Oryzias latipes: one gene and its partner. The protein of the gene in region 1 purifies or fractionates together with the protein of each later gene. This does not show direct contact. Links are inferred from orthologs where the notes say so. Each region holds a gene or a part of one and is shown in the gene's direction. Other genes may lie near its edges.

Evidence for each region. Proteins that work in one complex are often made in the same cells at the same time.
Region 2: the proteins of cul1 (region 1) and ccnd1 purify together in Homo sapiens (affinity purification with western blotting; 4 studies listed by BioGRID). This does not show direct contact. The link is inferred for Oryzias latipes from reciprocal best matches to the Homo sapiens genes CUL1 and CCND1.

Annotation. Positions count from the first base shown.
Region 1 is NC_019878.2:3,220,896-3,224,621, forward strand, and holds the start of cul1 (cullin-1), read left to right. Parts: upstream 1-861; 5' UTR 862-1,018; intron 1,019-3,726. UniProt on the Homo sapiens protein: Core component of multiple cullin-RING-based SCF (SKP1-CUL1-F-box protein) E3 ubiquitin-protein ligase complexes, which mediate the ubiquitination of proteins involved in cell cycle progression, signal transduction and transcription.
Region 2 is NC_019861.2:4,930,469-4,934,220, reverse strand, and holds the start of ccnd1 (G1/S-specific cyclin-D1), read left to right. Parts: upstream 1-1,450; 5' UTR 1,451-1,763; coding exon 1,764-1,961; intron 1,962-3,113; coding exon 3,114-3,329; intron 3,330-3,752. UniProt on the Homo sapiens protein: Regulatory component of the cyclin D1-CDK4 (DC) complex that phosphorylates and inhibits members of the retinoblastoma (RB) protein family including RB1 and regulates the cell-cycle during G(1)/S transition.

The DNA of each region.
Region 1 (3,726 bases):
CAGGACTTTACGTTCAGAGAACATTAAGTTCGCTGACGGAATATTTAACAGGAAGTTGACAGCAATCGTGTCAAAATCATTGAAGGATACAGATACAGTCAATATGGTGACACCCTAATGAACCAACAGCACGTATATCAACCGGAAACGGTTGGTTTCAGTGCGTCACATCTGTGTTAATGCGTTTAAGAAACAGATCGAACGCAAATAAAACTAAATGTCACAGGTGCCACTTTGCCATCGAAGTACATTTGAAAAGTACGTTATGGTACTAAAACAACAAACTACGCATGCGCCAAATGTCCAGAACATATGATTCGCCATATTTGTAGTTTTATACGTCACAAATGCTGCGTTCACTGAATCCCTGTAAATTATAGCGTTTTTGTTTCGCATAATAAATAAAAACAATAAAAACAACTGCACATAAGAGTCTTTATTTTGGTTAAATACTGTCAGATTTGGTGGATTTTCAAGTATACTGTTCACGTTCATATCCCTTTGGTCAATAAAGTTTTCTAGTATTAAATATTACAAAGCTGTTAAAGTGGTAAAGAAATGTGTTGTGATTAAACAACAGTGTAAAAGCTGTCTTTAACAATCATATCAACTACTTTTGATCAAGTATAACAGTATTATTATTGATGTACTCTGCTAATTTAGTTTAGTCCAAATTATATTATATGAAACGTAAAAACGTTAAATTTGACTTTTTTTAATGGGCAACTATTTTTCAAATTAACATGCATATTTTTATGATGTTTTTCACAAGAGCCGTCTATCTTCGAGTTTGAGAGACCTTTTCATCAGATCGTCCTTCTTTCGGAGCGCACCTGAAGGCGGCGTGATCTGGTGGCTGTTGAGATGATCTTTGTGTGAACGAAGCAGCACAACGAGCGCAGCTAGCAGCCCGCTCCAGGCAGACCCACTGACCAGAAAGACGCCGGGCCAGACGCGTTCCGTGGCCGAACATTACCGCTTTCTGCGATTATACAGCCACAGCGACAGTCTAAAAATGGTAAGAGGACGTTTTAGTTTTTGAGTTTTCACTGTTAGTGGTTTTTTTTTCCTAACGACAACCAGCTTAGCTTTGCGCTAGCTGCTAAAGCTAAGCGGTTAGCGAAGTGTTTTCCTGACTCATTATTGAAGAGCCCAAGAAGCTAGGCTGCCATTTTACACAAGGCACTTAGGACTCGATTGATGCCTTCTGGCACGACAGAGACGATTCTTATTAAATATAATAAAAGGAGCATATATATTTAAAGGAATGGCGGTATAAATCAAGTATCGTACGTAAATCTAAGGCTAGTTGTTCACACAGGGGCCAAACAGTGAGTCGGGCTAACAAGCTAATCCGAGACGGCTAATGAGTCTTAGCGGTGTTGCGTAGCAGTGTCAGACTCCGGTCGTAGCACACTGAACTATAATCACAACAGTGGTTGTCAACTTTAGTGTAAATTGTTAGATATCAGCGTATTTAGTTGGATTGTTTTCGCTCGCTGTCCGCCTCCCGTGTCGTGTTCGGACTCCAACCTGAAACACTCCAGCGCCGTTGAGCATTATTTCTCTGCCCAGGATGACGAGGTGTGGGTTGAATGCCAGACTGAATTTACAGCCCAGCCTTTGTGTCCAGCCACGTCAGTATTACGATCATTGTTAGGTGTTTTCCGTTTAAAACACCACTGGCTTGTCACCCCCTAATGAATGAACGCTTCATCACTTCCTGACAGGTTTTTATGACAGGTGAGAAAACTCGTTGGTAGTCTTCCATATGATGGGGTGTAGAAGTCCACCTCTTCATGTAAATGCAATTTTTCTTTTAAATACTTTGTTTAAAATATTGTTTCTTATTAAGACAAAGTTAGAAGTGGTTTTTGCTCTTGTAGTTGAGCTGAAGCCACATCTGTTTCATATGTTCTTGCTTATGAATAAATATTTGCTCTTTTCAGATACTTTGTTAAATTAAAAAATGGGATTGTTATAACTAGAGACCGAAATAATAGTTTAAATTCACATGAAAGAACTGTAAACATCTTAATTTGAAAGGCTTTCACACTCTTCCTTGCCCTGGATTATTTGATTAAGCATTATTAAAACAAATACCAAACGTTTTTACTTAAATGTAGGCCTTTTTCTAGAGACTGGCTTATATTTCCTTGATGTTATTGTTCTTTTGTATGGAAAAGACTTGGTGCTGTTTTGCAAAAACAAACTAGATTTTTTTCTTTTTTTAAGGTTTCAAACTTTTTCTGACTGGTCATATGGAAAAGTATATTTAGGGATGTTGTGTTCCCCATTTACATTTGATAGCTTGAACTTCCAGTGACAATAGATTACTTATTCAACGATAAACAAAAAAGATCATGGTATGTATGATATTGTATTCTGAAATTGCTTTTCCAAGCTTGATCAGGTTGGCATAAATTTTCTGTATTTCAAGGAGGTGGAGTTTTGATTATTTACTTTTAGTGAATCGTATGTAATGCGTGGATTAATTTACAGTTGAAACCAAAAATGTATATACACCACAATAAAACACATGCTTTTTTTCTCACCATCAGACATGACATTAAAGTACACTTTTCCTGTTTTAGGTAAATTATAATTAACAAAATTATTTCAATTTGCTAAATGTCAGAATAATGAGACTAGGTTTTGTTTTTTTAGACAAGTTTTTATTACTTTTATCAAGGTCAAAAGGTAACATACATTTCCTTAGTGTTTGGTACTATTGCCATTAAACTGCAGTACTTGGGTCAAACCTCTTGGATATCCTTTCACAAGCTTTGGTAGGAATTTTGTCCCGTTCCTCCTGACAGGACTGGTGTGAATGAGCCAAGTTTGTAGGTGGCCTTGTGTGTACACGCCTTTACAGCTTTGACCATACATTTTCAATAGGATTTAGGTCCAGGCTCCAAAACTTTATTGTCCCTAAGCCACTTTGTAACCAGTTTGGCAGTATGCTTCAGGTCATTGTCCTTTTGGGAGATCCATTTGTGCCCAAACTTTCTGGCTGACGTCTTCAGATGTTGCTTCAATATTTCCACTTACTGTTCTTTCCCTCATGATGCCATCTATTTTGTGAAGTGCACCAGTCCCTCCAGCAGCAAAACAAACCCACAAGATGATGCTACCACCCCCATGTTTTACAGTTGGGGTGGTGTTCCCAGGCTTATGTTTCCTCCAAACATAACGATGGTCATTGTGGCCAAACCGTTCTATTTTGGTCTCCAAAAATTAAAGTTTTTACCCTTGTGTGCTTTAGCAAACTTGAATCTGGCTTTTCTACGTTTCTTTTGGAGTAATGGCTTCTTCCTGGCAGAGTAGCCTTTCAGCCCATGTCTGTACAGCACTCGTTTCACTGTTGATAATGTCACATTCTTACCATCTTCAGCCAGCGTCTTTACAACATCTTTTGCCTTCGTCCTTGGGTTGTTCTGGACATATTGGACCAAAGTACGTTCATCTCTGGGACAAGGAACCCGTCTCCTTCCTGAGTGATATGATGGCTGGACGTTCCCATGATTCTATACTTGCGTACCGTTGTCTGAACAGATGAACGTGGCGCCTCCAGGCATCTGGAAATACATCCAGGAAAGAACCAGACTTGTGCAAATCCCCAATTGTCTTCCTAATATCTCAACTGATTGCTTTTAACTGTCCCATGATGTTTTACAAACAAGCAAGAGTGTTTTTAAATGTGCCCTAATACATATCCACAGGTGT
Region 2 (3,752 bases), on another chromosome or scaffold:
ACTGGTTACGAAATAACACAAAAGCAACAGATAAAGTTTAGAAAATGTCTTAAAAGTAACAACAGAGGGCACATTTAAAAGATATAAAGTTGTATTAGAATTGGATATTAAGGGGATTTTGTTTGTGAAATGGGGTCACACAAAAAAGCCTTTCCATTAAATTATTAAAAATAAATGTTTTGAATCAGAAAATTCTGTTGCTCACGTTCATCACCTTATTCCATCAGAACTTTTGCAGAGGTAAGATTCCGGTTTCAGACCAACAATGCATGAACTACAACATCAAAAGCCGGACACTCAAAAAGTAGACAACGTTTAGAATATTTAAAAATAAAGGAACAGACATAAACGTTGAGAGGATTTCTCAGTATATCCTGGGATCTGCTCTTTATTCCTGCACAGGTAAATGAGGATTGTTTTTTGTCACACAGCAACTTTCACTTCAGATGTTTAGTCCTTAAAAAGCAGGAGACTGGGAATGTGTTGATGTGACTTTAAGCTCTTCCAGCACATGGACCCCCTCTTCAGGCTTTACGGTAGTCAACCAAACGGCCCAAAGTGGAATTTCAGGAATGCAAAAAGCTCTGATTCATATTGAAACTGGATTAAAAAGTGCTCTGTTTGTACTTTTTACATTTTCGTTAAAGTGCCTAAATGTATAATAAAGGACAGAAAGAGGCTTGTTCTACCTGATTTACAACTTATAAGACTGAAGAGAAAAAAGAGCTTCTTTTTTTTTTTACCATAGTGAACTCAGCATCAGGAAGTTGTCCACAAACACAAAACTGCAATGTTGACTTGGAAGTTTGTGTGAAAGGACTTTGTGAGGGTTATCAGGGTCAACTTTTTCAGAGCAATGAACTTTTCCCTACATGAAAGTTACACCAACATCTGCCTAGTAACAGCAATTCCTCCCATTGGTGCGACTCTAGTCTCCTCCTGTCTGTCTGAACGTCTCACAGGAATCTTTTGAGGTAAAGTCAGCTCCTGTCACGTTTTCAACCGAGCTGAGATTCGCAACTTCCAGAAGTTAAAAGAAGATGCTGATCTGGTTGAAATGACCTGAATCTGTTTCATGTGTCTGAAGTGGGGATGCAGTGTGCACGCGCCCTGAACCTGGTTCCTCTCTGACTGCTTGGATTCCAACCCTGTTTGCTTTCAGCCACAACGGTTGGTGGGATCTCCTGAATGGAGCAAACGGCGTGTCCCTGTCCTTTCGTGGAAACCTCATGTTGTCGGTTTCATTCAATCCCAGGAAGACATATGGTGGGGTGGGGGTTCGGGGGGGTGTAGGATCGCCACCGCCCCCTACCGACCAAAGGATGGAAGCGTTCGCCGGTGGGCCGGACCTCCCACCTCTCCACCAGAGCCCTCCCCCCGCACATACATATGGACATAAAACAATCCCTTCCGCGCGCTCCCCAGCAGACTGCATGTGTCTTTGATACCCCCCGCCCTAACAACCGCTGACGTCACCGCGCGCATCCACCGTTTCTCACCACCTCTCCACTGTGCGCTCTGCAGATCAACTTTGTGTGCGCGCGTGTTCGTGGTCGCGCACGCAACGCGCGCACGGATCGGGGGTTTTGTCTTCGAGAGCAGAGAGGTCTGGCCCTCAGAGGGCTCGCGCGACCGAAGGGGCAGCAGCACGCGGCAGCAGAAGCCACGCGAGAAGAAAGGGCGCTGAAAGTTGGTGTGTGCAGCCTCCTGCCCGCGGGAACACGGCCCGGACCGCCGGCGGACTCCGCTCTCGTCCTGCTACCATGGAGGAGCAGCTGCTGTGCTGCGAGGTGGACTCCATCCGGAGAGCCCACCAGGACGTCAACCTGCTGAACGAGCGCGTCCTGCGGACCATGCTGAAGGCGGAGGAAAACTACCTGCCGGCGCCCAACTACTTCAAGTGTGTTCAGAAGGACATCGCTCCCAACATGAGGAAGATTCTGGCCACCTGGATGTTAGAGGTATCAGCTCTGTGCGTCTAAGCTGCCAGCTGTTCTGACCGGAACCGCAGGTCACGCCAAAGTTTGGAGCGCCTCGCTCACGCCGCTTAGTTTCTTCACGCGGCTTGCTGCTCGCGTGAGGGTTGGCCTCCCTTCGGCTTCGGCCGCGCGCCTCTGATCATCCGCCGACTTCATTCCCCGTCAGCTCTTTTCCATTTCAGCTGATGTTTCGGTCCAACGGGACGTTTTCAGCGAAACGTTCCCGGTGTACACGTATGCAGCCCGGTGCGTGCCAGTTTCTGATTACGCGCCATCTTTGTTGCGGTGTTTGCGGAGCTTCGGGATCTGATTTGAATGATGTCATTTTAACAGAAATAACGGGGAACGGGCCGGTAAAGCGCGGACTTTGACACGAGAAGAGAATAAAGTTTGAAGCGGGATCGAAAGCTGGAGTTTGTTCGGCCTCCGGAGGCGCAGCCACGGCCACGAACTTCACGCCAAAAAACGCAGATTCCTTCGAAAATCCAAAGCGCAGACGGACCGGATCCGTCGGATCTGATACTCAGAAGCATTTCAAACATTTACATCAACTTTCAGTTCAAAAGTCTTTAGGTTAAATATTTTTAATTAATTTTTGAAATGTGGCATCGGGCTGTGCGAGCAGCGGCTGCAGCACGTGAAGAATCTTCGCCTAAAAAATAAAAATAAAAACCAATTTGTTCTCCAAACAAGACAAATGACATTATCATCCGATCAGGCGCGCCTTCAGCTTCATGTATCTGCTAAAATAAGCAGCCTGCGATTTTTGTTAATATTTTAAAGTGTTTTTTGAAAAGATGACGAAGTTGAAATTGGAGTGAAAGTTGCGTCGACGCCACCTTTGTGTCTCCGTCAGAACTGACTGTAAACTCATTCCCGCTGCAGCTTTCACCTGCTTTTCCAGCCTTTTCTTGAGAGTTGGTCTGTAGGTTTTAACAATTTTTTTCCACGTATTTTAAAAGCCGAAAAATGAAAGATGCTTTAGTTTTTCTAAATTAGTTGGAGAGGATCATAGTGTGCAGGATGGAAGACAGACTGCTTACAGAAAGTGAAATCATTGTTCCATTTGAACAGAAAGAAATGTCTCCATGCCAGTGTCGGCCTCTAAAACACTTTATTTTCTTTTTCTTTTAGGTCTGTGAGGAACAGAAATGCGAGGAGGAGGTTTTTCCGTTGGCAATGAACTATTTGGACAGATTTTTATCAGTGGAGCCCACCAGGAAAAGCAGACTCCAGCTGCTTGGAGCTACATGCATGTTTCTGGCATCTAAGATGAAGGAGACGGTACCATTGACTGCAGAGAAACTCTGTATCTACACAGACAACTCGGTCCAACCTGGAGAACTGCTGGTAATTAAGTTCTTGCAGACATGATGTTGCGTAACAATGGGAGAACATGACCAGAATGCCTGAAGGCCGCGTTGGCTGGAGGCAGGGCTCGGTCTGGGTTGCTGGTGCGCCGAGGCTGCAACATGTCAAGCATGCAGTCATGCTACTGATGTACGTTGTGGTTGAAATGTGCATGGAAGTCTGCTGCAGCGTTTGAATGACTGCCTGCACTTTCCCATGGAGACTGGAAGGCCTCTGATTTCATCAATGGTCTTTGGTGGCGTCTGCTAATTTGCAGTGACACCTAGTGGCCGTCAGACAGATGTGCAGACAGTAGAAAGATGTATGCTAGAAAAAAAGAAAATGTCTTGTTCTGTCATTCACTTTGTTTAGGTAGAACATTACAGCCTATTTATGCATAAGAAGGATTCAATATTGACTGCT